Pelodiscus sinensis: one gene and its partner. The protein of the gene in region 1 interacts with the protein of each later gene in a biochemical or structural test. Links are inferred from orthologs where the notes say so. Each region holds a gene or a part of one and is shown on either strand. Other genes may lie near its edges.

What was found.
Region 2: the proteins of EPS15 (region 1) and EPN1 form a complex in vitro, tested with the Homo sapiens proteins (4 studies listed by BioGRID and IntAct, with this or other methods). The link is inferred for Pelodiscus sinensis from reciprocal best matches to the Homo sapiens genes EPS15 and EPN1.

The regions. Positions count from the first base shown.
Region 1 is NC_134719.1:8,705,485-8,712,711, forward strand, and holds the start of EPS15 (epidermal growth factor receptor substrate 15), read right to left. Parts: upstream 3,067-7,227; 5' UTR 2,029-3,066; coding exon 1,930-2,028; intron 1,417-1,929; coding exon 1,327-1,416; intron 1-1,326. UniProt on the Homo sapiens protein: Involved in cell growth regulation. May be involved in the regulation of mitogenic signals and control of cell proliferation. Involved in the internalization of ligand-inducible receptors of the receptor tyrosine kinase (RTK) type, in particular EGFR.
Region 2 is NW_027465849.1:3,116,198-3,123,458, forward strand, and holds the start of EPN1 (epsin-1), read right to left. Parts: upstream 3,028-7,261; 5' UTR 2,523-3,027; intron 1-2,522. UniProt on the Homo sapiens protein: Binds to membranes enriched in phosphatidylinositol 4,5-bisphosphate (PtdIns(4,5)P2). Modifies membrane curvature and facilitates the formation of clathrin-coated invaginations. Regulates receptor-mediated endocytosis.

The DNA.
Region 1 (7,227 bases):
TTCAATCCGGGACAGTTCCTCAGATTCATCACCCACAAAGGATGGTGCAGATTTGGGAATCTCTCTAATGTCCTCAGCAGTGAAGACTGAAGCAAAGAAATCATTTAGTTTAACCGCAATGGCTTTATCGTCCTTGATTGCTCTTTTTATATCTCGATTGTCTAGGGAACCCACAGGTTTGTTAGAAGGCTTCCTGCTTCTAATATACTTAAAAACATTTTGTTATTTCTTTTTCAGCTTTTGGCTAACTGTTCCTCAAAATCTTTTTTGCTTTTCTTACTACATTTTTACACTTGATTTGACAGTGTTTATGTTCCTTTCTATTTATCTCACTAGGATTGGACTTCCACTTCTTAAAATATGCCTTCTTGTTCCTCACTGCTTCTTTTACATGGTGGTTAAGCCACGGTGACTCTTTTTTAGGTCTCTTGCTATGTTTTTTAATTTGGGGTATACATTTAAGTTGGGCCTCTATTATAGGGTCATTAAAAAGTTTCCATGCAGCTTGCAGGGATTTGGCACTAGTCATTGTGCCTTTTCATTTCTGTTTAACTAACCTCCTCCTTATTCCATATTCTTTGAAAGACCACCGAGCTCAATATTTTAAAATATAAATATAACAGATTTGTAAAAATGTATAGTCTATATATTAAATATTTAAACAAAAACTCACAGTTCATTTTATTTACTCAATCCACCAGACAACATTTAGGATAAATACAAATCTGTCAACAGTTTAGAAATCATGGAATTACGGTCACTACTCTGTCCTTATTTTTCCATGTATTATAGAAACTTGATCAGTTATAGCTAAAGGAAAAGAAACAGTCATATTTTATAACTCAAGTGCCTGCATAACTTACCTAAAAAAAGGTTATAATATAGTTTTATCATCATGTATAAAATGTTAGGTAGAGTTCCAGATGACCATAAATGTCCTTAGAATAAGTATTTTATACCATTTACAATAAAGACTTTGTGAGTTCTGTATCTGAGTTCTGTCACTTATTGGCTATGTGGCCAAATATATACTTAATATGAAGAGCAAAGCACCTCAATGCTGACTCAAGTACTCAGTATTTATAGAATCAAACCCTAATCCTCATAGCATAACTTGCACAGTAAGTACAATATTATTTATCCACTGAGGTTGTAAGGTTCACTGATTTTGAAGTATTTTGTATGAAAGGTGCAATATATAAAAGCAAAATTACATATTGTATACTAGCATTTTGTACACACATGTATAGTATTTCTGAAAGGAAACTGTAACAGGAATAGACAGCATAATTGAAGGCATAATGTTACTCATTAAATAATTAATACCTTTCCAAGTATCAAGTCTGTCAGCCCAGATTTTTTCAAGAAAGCAGCAGCATCAGAAGCCACCACTCTTCCAGTGTTACTAGAATCAACCTGTGAAAGATACCACCACTGATTAGTACCCAGAACTGCTACAAAATACACATTCTTAATCAGCAGGCTACCAGAGAAGAATGCCCCCCCTCTCTCTTTTGAATTCTAAAGCAACTAAATTCTCTTCGGTGTATTTTAACAGCTTCCTTTCAAAATAAATGCATTTTACATTAGAACAGATGCATTTTAAAGCGGGTGCTAGAATGAATCCACTATTTTTCTTAAACTTAACCTAACTATAAAATATTATCCACACTTTGTACTCAGGAGTTAATGCAAGGGAATGAAATATTTTTACATTAATTTTTATTTATAAACATACAGAAATGTATCTATTTAATACAGGTTGAACCTCTCTAATCCAGAACTCTCTGGTCCAGCAACATCTGTGGTCTGCCAGGAGTAGCATTCAAGATTTTTCAACCTTTAATTACACTTGAGTTTTAAGGTCTTCAACAAAAGGTACAGGATTTCAAGTATACATCTGAGCAATACTCAAATAAATCAATGTACAATAAAGATCTTATCTGGATGAGACCACCACATGATTCTCTTCCAATCAGTTCTTCCCAATTGCAGATTTTCTCCTTTAGTAACTCCTTTAGTAACCATGCCTTCAAAGCATCAGACTTATATGTACATACCAAAATCCTCAGGAGGTAGGTTAAGCTTAATGGAGTAGTTCAGAGTTCATTACTAATATGCCCTGGAAAAGTCTGCAATGTCAACTTTTCCTGTCCTGAAGGAAACGGCATATCCAGGAAGTCAATGATAATGTTGGCAAGGCACTTAGGTACAAGATTGCATTTTCCCACATTTACAGAGCGGTACCTAGGACTGGATGTGACCTCATCTCCCGAGGGAACAAAACGTTCATAGCCAAATATCAGATGGAAAAGAATAAACTGCAAGCTTTGAGTGTCTGTAAAGTACCAACCACATGAAATTATAGCGGCCTAGCTACAAAAATTCAAGAAGGAGAGATTAATATCTCCTTTGTTTTGGTCTTTGACAAGACAATTACTGATGTTCTTTTGATCGTACCTGTTTTTTTGAGGCTGGCAGACAAGATGCCACCTTATGACAAGGCCCAGGGGCTTCACTGAACAATGACAAACAGAAGTGCTTTTGGGCAGCTTCGTTTGATCCATCAGCTGCGACCCTTCCTGAACAAGCATGAATTGGCAACAGCGATCCACGCTCTTGTTACATCCCAACAGGATTAGTGTAATGCACTTTATATGGGGCTGCCTCTAAAGAACCTTCGGAAACGTCAACTGGTCCAGAATCTTAAGACTGCTCGAATCTTAACTAATACTCGTTATATAGAGCACATTATGCCAGTGCTTCAGCAGCTGCACTGGCTTCTAGTATGTTTCCGGGCACACTTTAAGGTTTTAGTCACGATCGATAAAGCCTTAAAAGAGTTGGGTCCGGGGTATCTGAAGGACCGTCTTCTCCCATATGAACCTGCCCAGAGATTGAGGTCAGCTGGGGAGGCTTTGCTTCATGTTCCCCCACTTGTGGAGATAAGATTAACATTTGTGCAGAACAGGGCCTTCTCAGCTTTTGTTCCCAGACTGTGGAATTCTCTTCCTCGGGATATTCTCATGGCACTAACACTAACATTGTTTCGGTGTCAGGCTAAAGCCACCCTTTTTACTCGTGCTTTTATTAATGTTTGAGTCTGTATGTGTGTGTTTCTCTTCTCTATATGTTTTTAGCACATTTTATGTCCCTCTGGAGTCTTATATTTTAAATTTTTATATATATTTGTATTGTGTTTAAACAGTTTTTTATAAGTCGCCTTGAATATTTTAAATAGAGAGGCAGGGTAAAAATATTTAAATAAAATAAAATAAAATAAAATAAAATAAAATAAAATAAAGTCTGGGTCACCTGTGTGTTAGTATTGTTAAAAATAACATCAGAATTATAGGAATGTGTTTAGATTTCATGAAAAGTTTCTAGAGGTCTGCATGTATTTCACCTTATAAATATTACTAGAAGATGTATTCAGCCTTGCTCTGGTCTATAACGGAAGAGGTGAGGTTTTTTAGGAAAAAGAAACGAAAATGTATTATTTCAATGATATTTCAAAAATGAAGGCAGGCGTGAGAGATCAAGGGTGAGGAGAGGCAGAGTGGCAGACGTTTGGGAGATATGGGGAGGGCTCAGGATAGGAGGAGGGGATGCTAAAAAGTCAAGGCAGGTAGGAGTCAGAGCTGGGAAATGGGGAGGGCTTACCAGGGCCACCCATGGCAGCAAGGGCAGCACTGCTCTGGTGGCAACTCCTTCCGGGGGGCCGTGGCAGCACTCCCCTGCCAGCAAGCCCCGCAACTGTCCTCCCCCACAGCCTATCGGGAAGAAGCGAGGCCCTCTCATGCAGCAACACTGCGGCAGCCTGCAGCCACCAGCCTATAGTTTGTTGGGGGTTGAGGCTCGGGGGACTTTCCCCCTTCATCTAACCCCCACCCGCATATATTCCCCTGTGGCCTACAGGCTGCCTGTAGAGGAGCCAGGCTGTGGGGATGCCCTCACCTTCAGCGCCCTCCCCATGCCCTGAGGTCTCTCCATGATGGAGTGTGGGGACAGGCTCCAGGTTTGAGGTGGGGGGCTCCTTACCAGTGTGTTGGCAGGCAAGAAGGCAGAATCCAAGCCCTTCTGGCCATTTTCTTGGCGCGGCAGATACCACCAGTAGCTGCTCTCAGTATCACGTCCCTCCTCTCTGTGCCCCTCCCTTTCACGTTCTTCCTCTCTCTGTCCCCTCCCTTTCCATGTTACGGGAAATAGTCCCATTCCCAGAACTTTCCATTTTCCAAGCACAATCAAACCCTGACCTTGGTTTAAGTTAGGGTAAGAGGAAGCTGCATATCAAATTTCATAGTCATAGCTCTTATGAGGAGGAGTTCTTGAACAAACGGGCAGACACTCTCTAAAATACATATACAGATAACAAGGGGTACATTAAGGATTTGTTCTTGAAGCACAAAAATGTTTGCTAAAAACCGTAAAACTTCAGTCACGAAAGAAGCATTACCAAACGTAAAATATTAGTTTGCCACAAGAGGTCTCATCTACTCCCCGGAAAAAGGCGGCATATATTGACACAAATAAAATCATAGTAAAGCGCATCAGTGAACAAAAGACTGCATTGATTGCTTCCCCACATCCATGAAGCAGATATGTACAAAAGCACTCATCCTATAATTGCCTGAACAGTGGGGGAATGCATAAAAATCTGTGTCAAGGAGAAATTAACATTATACTGCCTGGAATTTGGAGATGGCACATTTCCAATCATAACCAAAGGATCCCTTAGTTGCTTAGCCCTGAAGAGTTTACATATTACAAGAGCTTCTATTATCTTTTGTAGTTAGTTTAATCACAGGACTGGCTTCAAACATTATCTTTGGTAACAGATCTAAGAGTAAACTAATGTGGAGTAATGGACAGATCCTCTGGTACTGGGAGTAGCATGACTATTATTGTGGTTTTTTTGGTGAAACGGACCATCTGCTACAAAGGCAAACTTGCCTGGGTGGCAAGCTATACAAGAGAGACCAAAGAAATTGTCTGTGGTTTCATGTTAAAATTGTCAGAGTGCTTTAGACGTTCACACTTGTTATCTGGTTGGTGAAATTTAATTATAGAACATACAATCAGTTTGAGGTTTGGACTTTGTTTCTTGACATTCTGCCTTGAGGTTAGATCTCATGCTCATGAGCTACTCTAGACAGCTCAACAATTTTAGCTAGCTCTTTTATACCAAGTAAGAAGAAGTACAGGGAGGATTTCAAGAAAGTCTTTCATTTTATCAAGCTGACTCAGCTTAAGTTAGTAATGGAAAATCTTAAAGTAAAGCCACATAAAAACTTATTTAGCATGATTGCTTTAGTTATCGTAGGCAAAATTTGTATGCACCATCTTCCCAGATTTCAATCCATCAGAAGATCACTAAGAAAAAACAAGCTCTCAACTTCATCATATTTACAGATACACCAGACAGTATACTGTACTGGCCTTCACTGTTTCTGTAAAGGATCAAATGTAATCCTGCATTTCACATGTAATCGTCTACAAAAACAAACTCATTATGTTTATCATAGATTGTAATGCCCTGAAATTCTGAAGGATTTGACAGCTATTACAAGCAATATAAAGGATAGAGAAAAATAAAATGAGGACACTTTTGCTTTCAGCCCCTCTTTAAAGTCCAAGATTGATCAGAAGCTGATCAAGCAAAATAATGAAAATGGAAAAGAATGCTGTGTGATGGAATTAAATTAATATCCTAAATTAATTTGGCCAATACTTTAAAACATTAATTCCAGAGGCAGAAAGGGCATTTACTAATCCCAACCAGGTTCTTTTTAATCTGTTGAGTTGATCAGTCAAGTGTAATTTTCACAAAATATTACGATTTGTAGTTCTCCAGGGAATAAATTGACAACGGTTAATGAGAAGTTATGCTAGAGATAAGCATTTTGAAGCACACTATTGAATTTTCTCTAATATGTTCTTTCTTAGATTGGTAAGTATCTACAGGCTTTTGGATTGTCTTTTGAAGCCAAGGGTGAGATGATATTGTCTTGCAAAACCAATGGACAATTCTCCCTGTTTAAGGGATTAACAGAACATTTGAGGTATTCAGAGCACTACACACGCCTAAAGACATTTATAGAATTCACTGACAAAAGCCTTGATAAAAATGCCATTTGGAAAATATATTGGAACAGGTTCACCTTCATGTGTTCATATTTTCACTTCTAGTGGTAATTTTTGTTCTCTAGCAAACTCAGCAAGATTTTACAGGCTGGAAGCAACTACTGTGAATTTGCGATTTAGTGAAAGTCTGAAGTTGAATGAAGTTTTTACCAGAACTCTACATATCGCCTGAGTTTATCATCAGTACTTTTATTTCTTACAGTAGTGGGCTCAATATTCAGGGATTTAATGGGATGGTATACTTGTGCAAGCTTATGGTTGTCTTTTTTTTCCCTCTCCCTCTTTAAAACCACTAGTATGTTATAAGGAGCTCTCTGCAATGTGCAACTAATGCAACTGTAGTGTCAAATACAGCCTCATTTTATACTCAGTGGGTCCTCATGTAGTTTTGGCATCCATTCAGAAAAGAGCTGGTGGATCAATGTTCTTCCACTATTCAAGGAAACCCCAGAGTTATATTGAGTCAGCATTGTCTATTTTTAAATCTTCAACTCTATCCTCTAGGAAGATCATTTTTTGAGGAGTGAAGACAGGTGACTGTCATTTGAATGGATTCTGACAAGGTTACTTTTTTGTTCCCCGATGTTAGGCTCATTTCAGAATAAGCTTTCCATTCAATTAGTTTTAGATTTAGATTGCAGGGAATTACCGGGTGTATGGCTCAGGTGTTTTGACCATTTCCCTGATTTGCTCTCACTGTTTTCATGTTTAGCGTCCTGAGAGTATGGTTATCAAAGCTATCTTCAGTAATATTAAAAAGGATTTTTTTTAGATTTAAAGAGATACAGATACATTTGATTTAAATCATTAGAATGTAGAAAAATAGTACTTGGAATGCGAATACTATTTCAACTAGAAAAAAATTCAACTAGAAGCTCAGAAACATTGCTTAGATACTATCCTGAATGACATCACTTCATGGATTTCATTTTTTTAAATCACTTCTAATTTGTAAATTTCCAAGTTACATCTCTCTAATGGGAGATATTTGTCCTAACCACATCATGCCAGAGATATTCCAGTTGAGTTTGATAAGACATGACTCGGACAGGAATTAGAAGGGAGTGTGTGCTGGAGATGTGC
Region 2 (7,261 bases), on another chromosome or scaffold:
AGGAGAGTGGGGGCTAGTGGTTAGAGCAGGAGACTCCTGGGTTCTCTCCCAGGCTCTGGGGCTCAAAAGGGGGGCTGGGAGCCAGGAGTCCGACACTCCCCCGGGGGGGACTGGCTTCCGGGGCCTCCTCTGTCCCTCCCCGGCGGGAGCGTGCGGGCAGGGAGCACTAACTCTGGGAGGGGTCGGGGGGGGTCTAGACCCAGGAGAGAACGCACCCAAGCTGGCGGGAGGCAGCAGCAGCCAGTGGTTGGAGCCCCCAGCGGCTGGACGCCAAGCGCAGCTGGAATTCAGCCTCCAGCCAAAGGCCCCGGGGAAGGAAGAGACACAGAGCTCTGGGGGCGCCGCACTGTGGGGGTGGGGGAGGGACTCGCCCCTCCCGTCACAGCCGGCCCCGCAGCCAGACGTGTGTTAGCCTGGGGCTAGGGGCGTGCAGGTGACCCGCTCCCCATGCTCTGCCCCAGAGGGGCCGCACCCCAGCACCAGGGATGGGTGCCTGGATAACCAGCACCCAGCTCTACCCCAGAGGCAGCCACATCTCCGGACCCAGGGATCGGAGCCACGGAGCAGAGCCCGGCGAGCGCCGGGGGAAGGAAGGAAAGCTCCAGGCGTCCTGGCGCCATGACTCAGAAAGGCACAAGGCCTCACTTCCTTCCCCTCTGGCTGCTGCCAGCTGGGACCCGGGAGCTGCAGGGGCTGGAGACCTCCAGGGGGTGGAATGCAGGTTCCCCCTGGCCCTCAGAGCCCATGCAGTGGTCCTGCAGTGCTCCTGGGACTCAGGGAACCCCCTCCCCTTCTTCCCATGCAGGCCACCCCCCGCTTCATGGAGAGAGGGCAGGGAGAGAACCCAGGAATCCTGGCTCCCAGCCCCTGCCCGTTCTAACCACTAGACCCCCCCACCCAAAGCTGGGAAGAGAACCCAGGAGTCCTGCCTCCCTGCTCTAAGCACTAATCTGCCTCCTACCCACTGGACCTTCCCATAACCACACGCTGGTCGGAGGGCTTGTCGCAGCTCTTCTCACACCCCCTCCACGCCCTGCCAATCCCAGGGGGTCTCATGTCAGACCCAACCCCCAGAGCCCTGGGGAGTGGGAGTCCCGCCCCTCACCCGTGAAGGGTGGACCAACAGGCTCCAGCAGGTTTGGGGCCGACTATGAAATTGACCGGGCGGCAGGGGCCTATCCCCCGCGGGGATTTTGCAACAGTTCCCTGGCTCCGGTAGCAGAAAGCCAAGAGGAGCGGCACAATGACACGGGGGAGACCCGACTGCTCAGATCAGCCCCTCGCTAGCCAGAGGCCCAGATGGGTGCCCCAGAGCTGCACCTGAGGGGACTCCCGGCTCTGCGAGCGCCAAGCACCACGCCCGGCGAGGAGGCAGATGGAAGGGAACCAGCTGGGATCCACCACGCTAGCTGGGATCCGCACAGCACCGTCCTGATCTCCCCGTCAGCTCCCTGTCCAAACCGGCCAGCTGTCCCCAGCCCCGGTAGCTCTCCAGAGAGGGGTGGGAGCAGGTGGGGATACAACAGCACAAAGGCACTTCCGGGAGCCCTCTCGGGGGACCATAAATCATCCAGGCTGTGGAGAGTTTCTCTCTCACCCCACGAGTCAGCTACCCCCCCCCCCCCCACTGTGCCATGGGCTGCCCATAAACCTGCTTGGGCTGCCGGGCAGCCAGACAGGGAGGGTCTGGACGTGACAATGAACCACGTGAGAGAGAAGGCTGAGCTGGGGGATTAGAACCACTCCCTGCGGTGGTCAAGGCCGCTGGCCAGCCAGCCAGCCTGCCTGCCTCCCCTTTTCCTCCAATTCCCTCCCCGCCTCTGGGCCAGCCCCACTCACCCCCTCCCTGCCCAGGGATCTCCCTGGGTCAGCCCCACTCCCCCCAAGCACCGTGTCCCCAGACCAATCCTTCCCTGCCTCACACACTCCTACACCAGGCCCCCAGATTAGGCACCACCAGTCGCACTCCCGTGCCCTCCCACCCCCGTGTGGGTACAAGACGGGCCTCTTCTGGATTCCCCAAACGGCCTCCCCTGTCCCCTTTGGCCACCCTGCAAAGCCGGGGCGGGCATGACAGCCTGGCCCCCCCTCCACAACACCCGGGGCCCAGATCCCCCATGCTGGGCAGCACTGGCCTTCTCTCCAGCCTCTGCAAGCTGCCCCCCAGCCCGAGCCGAAGGCACCAGCCCGATCTCCCCTGCCAGGGCAGCCCGGCCCTCCCGTGAACTCTGGACAGCGCGGGGCGCGCCGCCAGCCCGTCAAAGGGGTGATCGGCAGTTGGCACCGGCGCTGACTCAGAGGGACGAGTCCCTCTCACCTCCCACGCTCGCCGGCTCGCAGAAAGCAGAGCCCAGGGCGGCCGCCCTCGCTGGCAGCGCCCGGGGGGGGGGGAGGGTCCCCAAAGCGGCGAAGGGGGAGCGGATTTCACAGGTGGGGAAACTGAGGCAGAGAAGAGCTCCAGGCGCGCTAACCCCTAGGCCCTGCTGCCAGCGGAGCCGAGACGCGCCCCGCGCAGGACTCACCTCGCGTCCCCCGCGGGGGCCGGGACGGAAGAAGCTTCGCGGGGCACCGGGGCCGCCGCCCGGCGGGGGGGGGGGGGGGCGGACCAGCCCCCGGGGTCACCCCCCGTCCGGGTTCAGGCCCCGCGGCGCTGGCGGGGGGGGGTTCAGGGGCGGGCGGGGGGGTCTCTCGCCCACCGACCCACCCCCTCTGATCCCCCCCTATCCCCGGGCGGGGCGCGGGCCCAGGGGGGGCATGTCAGGGCCCCGCGCGGGGGGGGGCTGCCCCCTTGGCCCAGTGGGGGGGGGCTCCCCGGGCGGGGGGGCTCAGATCGGGCGGAGAAGCCGGGGGGGGGGGGGCTGAGTCCCGCCCTGAGGGGGTGTCACTTGGGGGGGGGGGTCCCCGGGCCGGTGGGGGAGGGGCGCTCTCGCCCGGCTCTAGGGGCCCCGGAGGCTCCGCTCGGCGCTAGAGCGGCCGCGGCTGCTGGACCCTCCGCACCGGAAGCGGAAGCCGCCGCCCGCCCTCACTTCCGCCCTGCTCCCCCGCCGGGCTTCCGCCCTCGCCGTGACGTCACTTCCTGCCTCTCCCATGACGCCGGGAAGCTGCGCCGCGCCCCGCCTCCCTCTGTCCTCCCCTTGGCCCCGCCCCCATGGTTGCGTGGCCCCGCCCCCCTTGACCCCTCACCTCCCGTGAGGCTTTGGCCCCGCCCCCTTGACTCCCTGCCCAATAGATTGACCTTTGACCCACCCTGCTGACCCTTTGACCTGCCCCATGACCTTTGACCTGCCCTGATGACCCCAGCCCTGCTCCCCCCCCAGGTCTGGCAGGGTGACACTGTGACCCCCCCCCCCCCCTCCCCCGCTGCCTGTTGAGCCCTTGGCCCCGTGCACTGACCCCGGCCCCGGGGGGGGGCTGCCCTGATGGGATCTGACCCGGCGGCTCCTCGCGGGGGCAGGTGGCCGCGCCGCCAGGGAGAAAACCCAGGACGGGGGTGGGGGTGGGGAGGGAAATAGGCCCCCACCCAAGACAAATATCCGGCCTCCCCTGTGCAGCTGGGACACCTACCCACAGAGAAGTCCCCTTGGCCCCACGTGTTGGCTTCCTTGACCCAGCACAAGGACTTCTCGGCCTGGCGCAGATTCATAGGAGCATCTAGTCTGACCCCCTGTCTAGCACAGGCCACAGCCCTGCCCCCCCCCCCCCCCCCCCCAGTAATTCCCAGACCCCGTCTCTTAGGAAAACATCCAGTCTGGAGTGAAACATTCCCAGGGATGGCGAATCCACTGGGACACGTGGTAAGTTGTGCCGACGGTTAATTAACGGACGCCTTCGTACCAACCTGAATTTGTCTGGCTCTAATTTCCAGCCACGGAAGCAGCTTAGACTTTTCTTTGCTAGATCGAAGAGCTTGTTATTAAACATTTATTCCCCACATAGGTACTTAGAAACTCAATTAGCTTCTCTTTGCTTAATGGACTAGATTGGGCTCCGTGAGTCTGTCACAGTACAGCAGGTTTTCTAACCCTTTCTCCTTTCTCCTGGCTCTTCTCTGACCCCTCTCCAGTTGATCAACAGCCTTCATGAATTGTGGTGAATTTATTTCTCAGCACCTCAATGTTGTGCAATGTGCTCATCTCTTTGCGGTTTCTGCAGGCTCCTCTTGCTAATTGTGTGGCACACACACACGCGCTACTCTAGCCAGCTTGTCCACAAGGAGATTGGGCCCTCTTCTCTTCAGCTGGAGGCGTCCAACCGTTATACCTTGAGGGGTTTGCAACAGGTGCCATATGAAAAGAAATTAAAAAGACTGGGACTTTTCAGCTTAGAAAAAAAAGTCTATAAAATCATGCCAGGTATGGAGAAAGTGAATAAGGAAAAAAGTTATTTACTTGTTCCCACAACATAAGAAAAGTAGGGGGTCACCAGATGAAATTAGTAGGTAGCAGGTTTAAAACAAACAAAAGGACGTTTTTTTTCACACAGTGCACAGCCAACCTGTGGAACTCCTCGCCAGAGGAGGTTGTGAAGACCAGGATTTTAACGGGTGTCAAGAAAGAACTAGATAAATTCATGGAGATTCGGTCCATCAATAGCTATTAGCTGGGGTGGGTAGGAATGGTATCCCTAGCCTCTGTTGGCCAGGGGCTGGAAATGGATGACAGGAGAGGGATTACTTGATGATTCCCTTCTGGGGCAACTGGTATTGGACACGGTCGAAAGACAGGACGCTGGGCTATGGACCTTTGCTATGACCCAGTCTGGCTATTCTTATGTTCACCCCTTCTCCCCGCGGAAGGCGGTCAAATGTTCAAATAACCCCAAACCCTCCGCCGCTAACCTAGCAAGCACTTCACCTCCAGAATCTCCAGCCTCCTGTCTTCCTTTGCTTGAGGGACGGGACTGATCTTGGAGAAGACGGCTCGGCTGTTCTGTTTCTTCCCTCACGTCCTCCGCTGCCCAGGAGGTATCCCGCTAAAGCAGCTTCCATCCAGCCATCACCAAGCCATCTCGGCCTGATGGCCTCTAGACCCAGTCAGGTGACTCTTTGACCCAGCCTGATGCCACGTTTCTCAGGTCCCTTGGCCTACTGTGATGAGCCCCAAACTGGACACGGGGACCAGTCTGACCCCATCTGGTGATCCCTTAACCCAAGGAGATGATCCATTCGATCCGTCTGCACGTCAGGTTCCTACGTGATGGCCCCCGCCCCTGCCGGCCCGAAGAGAGGGGCCAAACAGGCAGCGCAGCGAAGGACTGCACAAGCCGCCCCCCTCCCAGGCTCGCACCCACTGGTTTGCTGTTATAGGGTCTCCTGTGGCAGTGGAGGAGGGGTACTGGTTTGTTATTGTAGGGCAGGGGTGGTCAACCCGTGGTTCGTGAACCGAATGCGGCTCTCCCCACCCCCCCAAAAGTGCAACTCACACAGCCTCCCCCGTGGCTTGCAAAGCTGCCCCAGCGCCCCTCCAATCGGCCCCCTGTGCTCACCGGGGCAGGGAGCCATCCGGAGGTGATTGAAAATGGGAGCTGCAAGATGGCGGCAGCCAATGGGAGCCTGCTATGGCCCAAAAGCCCAAGCCCATGTTTTTTTAAAGGGGCAGTGTGTGGTTTTTTTTTTGCTCGACAATTCTGGTGCAGCTCTTTGCATTTCTTCCGCCGGTTTCAGCTCTCTTTATTTAATGGGTTTCCCGCCCCCCCATTGTAGGGTCTTTCCCGAGCAGTGGAATTGTTATTGTAGGGTCTCTCTGGAATCATGACACTGCAGCTCAGCCGCTGTTCTTGTAGGGTCTGTAGTCCAAAATAGCCGTAGGGCATGATGGAGGCACATCCCCATCCTATGGGACTGAGGGCCCATCTCAAGGAGCTGCATAGAGTATGGCCCATTCCCGCCAGCGCCCCAGGGTAGGGCAGGCCTTGACGGTAGACACCCTGAGACAGCTGGGCCCCAAGCCTCACCCGAAGCAGCCCCCGGCTCCATGAGCCTCTGGTCCCCTCACACTAGGGAGACCCACTTCTCAGGGGCAGAGCGGGGCTTAGGCGCTGTGGTCCAGCCTGTTGGGAACCGGGCAGAGACCCAGTGAACCCCTTTCAGGCAGGGGCCACAAAGCAACTGGAAGCCACAGCCAGCTACAGCAGCCATGGAGGGGAAAGGCTCCAGGCCCCCTTCCCCACCCTTCTGAGCCAGCCTGTCCCTGCCCTGGGGGTGGATGGGAGCTGGTGCCCCCTGTCCCCTGTAACAAAAGGGCTCTGGGGGGACACTCCAGAGAGTCTCAGCTCAGAACGAATTGCTTTGAGACAGTCCTACAGCCCACGACTGGAGCTCCCTGCGATAAAGCACCAAACAGTCGCAAAGAGCGCGTCTGTTCCCCTACCCTGGCCAGCAAGAAGTCCCACAAGCAACCCCCTCAGACCCTCCCGCTCCCCTGCATCACCGCCAGTAGCCCCCCCACCCCCACGTTCCCCAAGGGGAGGTGATGTGAACCAATCCGGACAAATTCTCCCGCTCCCAGAGGGCCAGCCTCATGCCCAGCTCAGTTTACACCTTCGATCAGACCCAAGCAATCACGTGGTTGCCAACCCCTTAGTAACTAAGCTCTAAGGCTAGGTCTACACTGGCGAGTTCTTGCGCAAGAACCCGCAGAGCGTCCACACTGCCCGCCCGCTCTTGCACAAGAAGACGTACAGTACAGTGTCGGAAGAGGGCTTCTTGCACAAGAGCTACGCTCTTGTCTAACAGGTGTCAGCTCTCTGGCGCAGGGGCTCTTGTGCAAGAAGGCAGTGTGGCTGCACGGCAGAGGTGTCTTGCGCAAGAAAGCCCTACGGCTAAAATGGCCATCAGAGCTTTCTTGCGCAAGAGAGCGTCCACGCTGCCACAGATGCTCTTGTGCAAAAGCACATGGCAGTGTGGACGTGTTCTTGCACAAGAAGCCTTGCGCAAGAACCTGCCAGTGTAGACATAGCCTAAAGGTTTATTTGTAAAAAGAAGAGAAAGGACGACAGTTACAACAGTTACATTAAATACACACGACACTTGCCAAGCTCTTGGCTCAGGCTTGTACCGGCGTTGGAATGAACCGCTGGCGTAAGCCAAATCTCAGGAAGCCACCCACAGCTTGGACGAGTCCTTCGGTCCTTTGTTTAGAACAGGGAGGGGCAACCTGGACTAGCGATGGGACCCCAAGAGAGGCCCTCCTTCATCTCAGTAGGCCGCAAGGTTGTTGCGACCAAGAGAATCTCCCAGGAGAGGGTAGTTTCGCTCACTGTG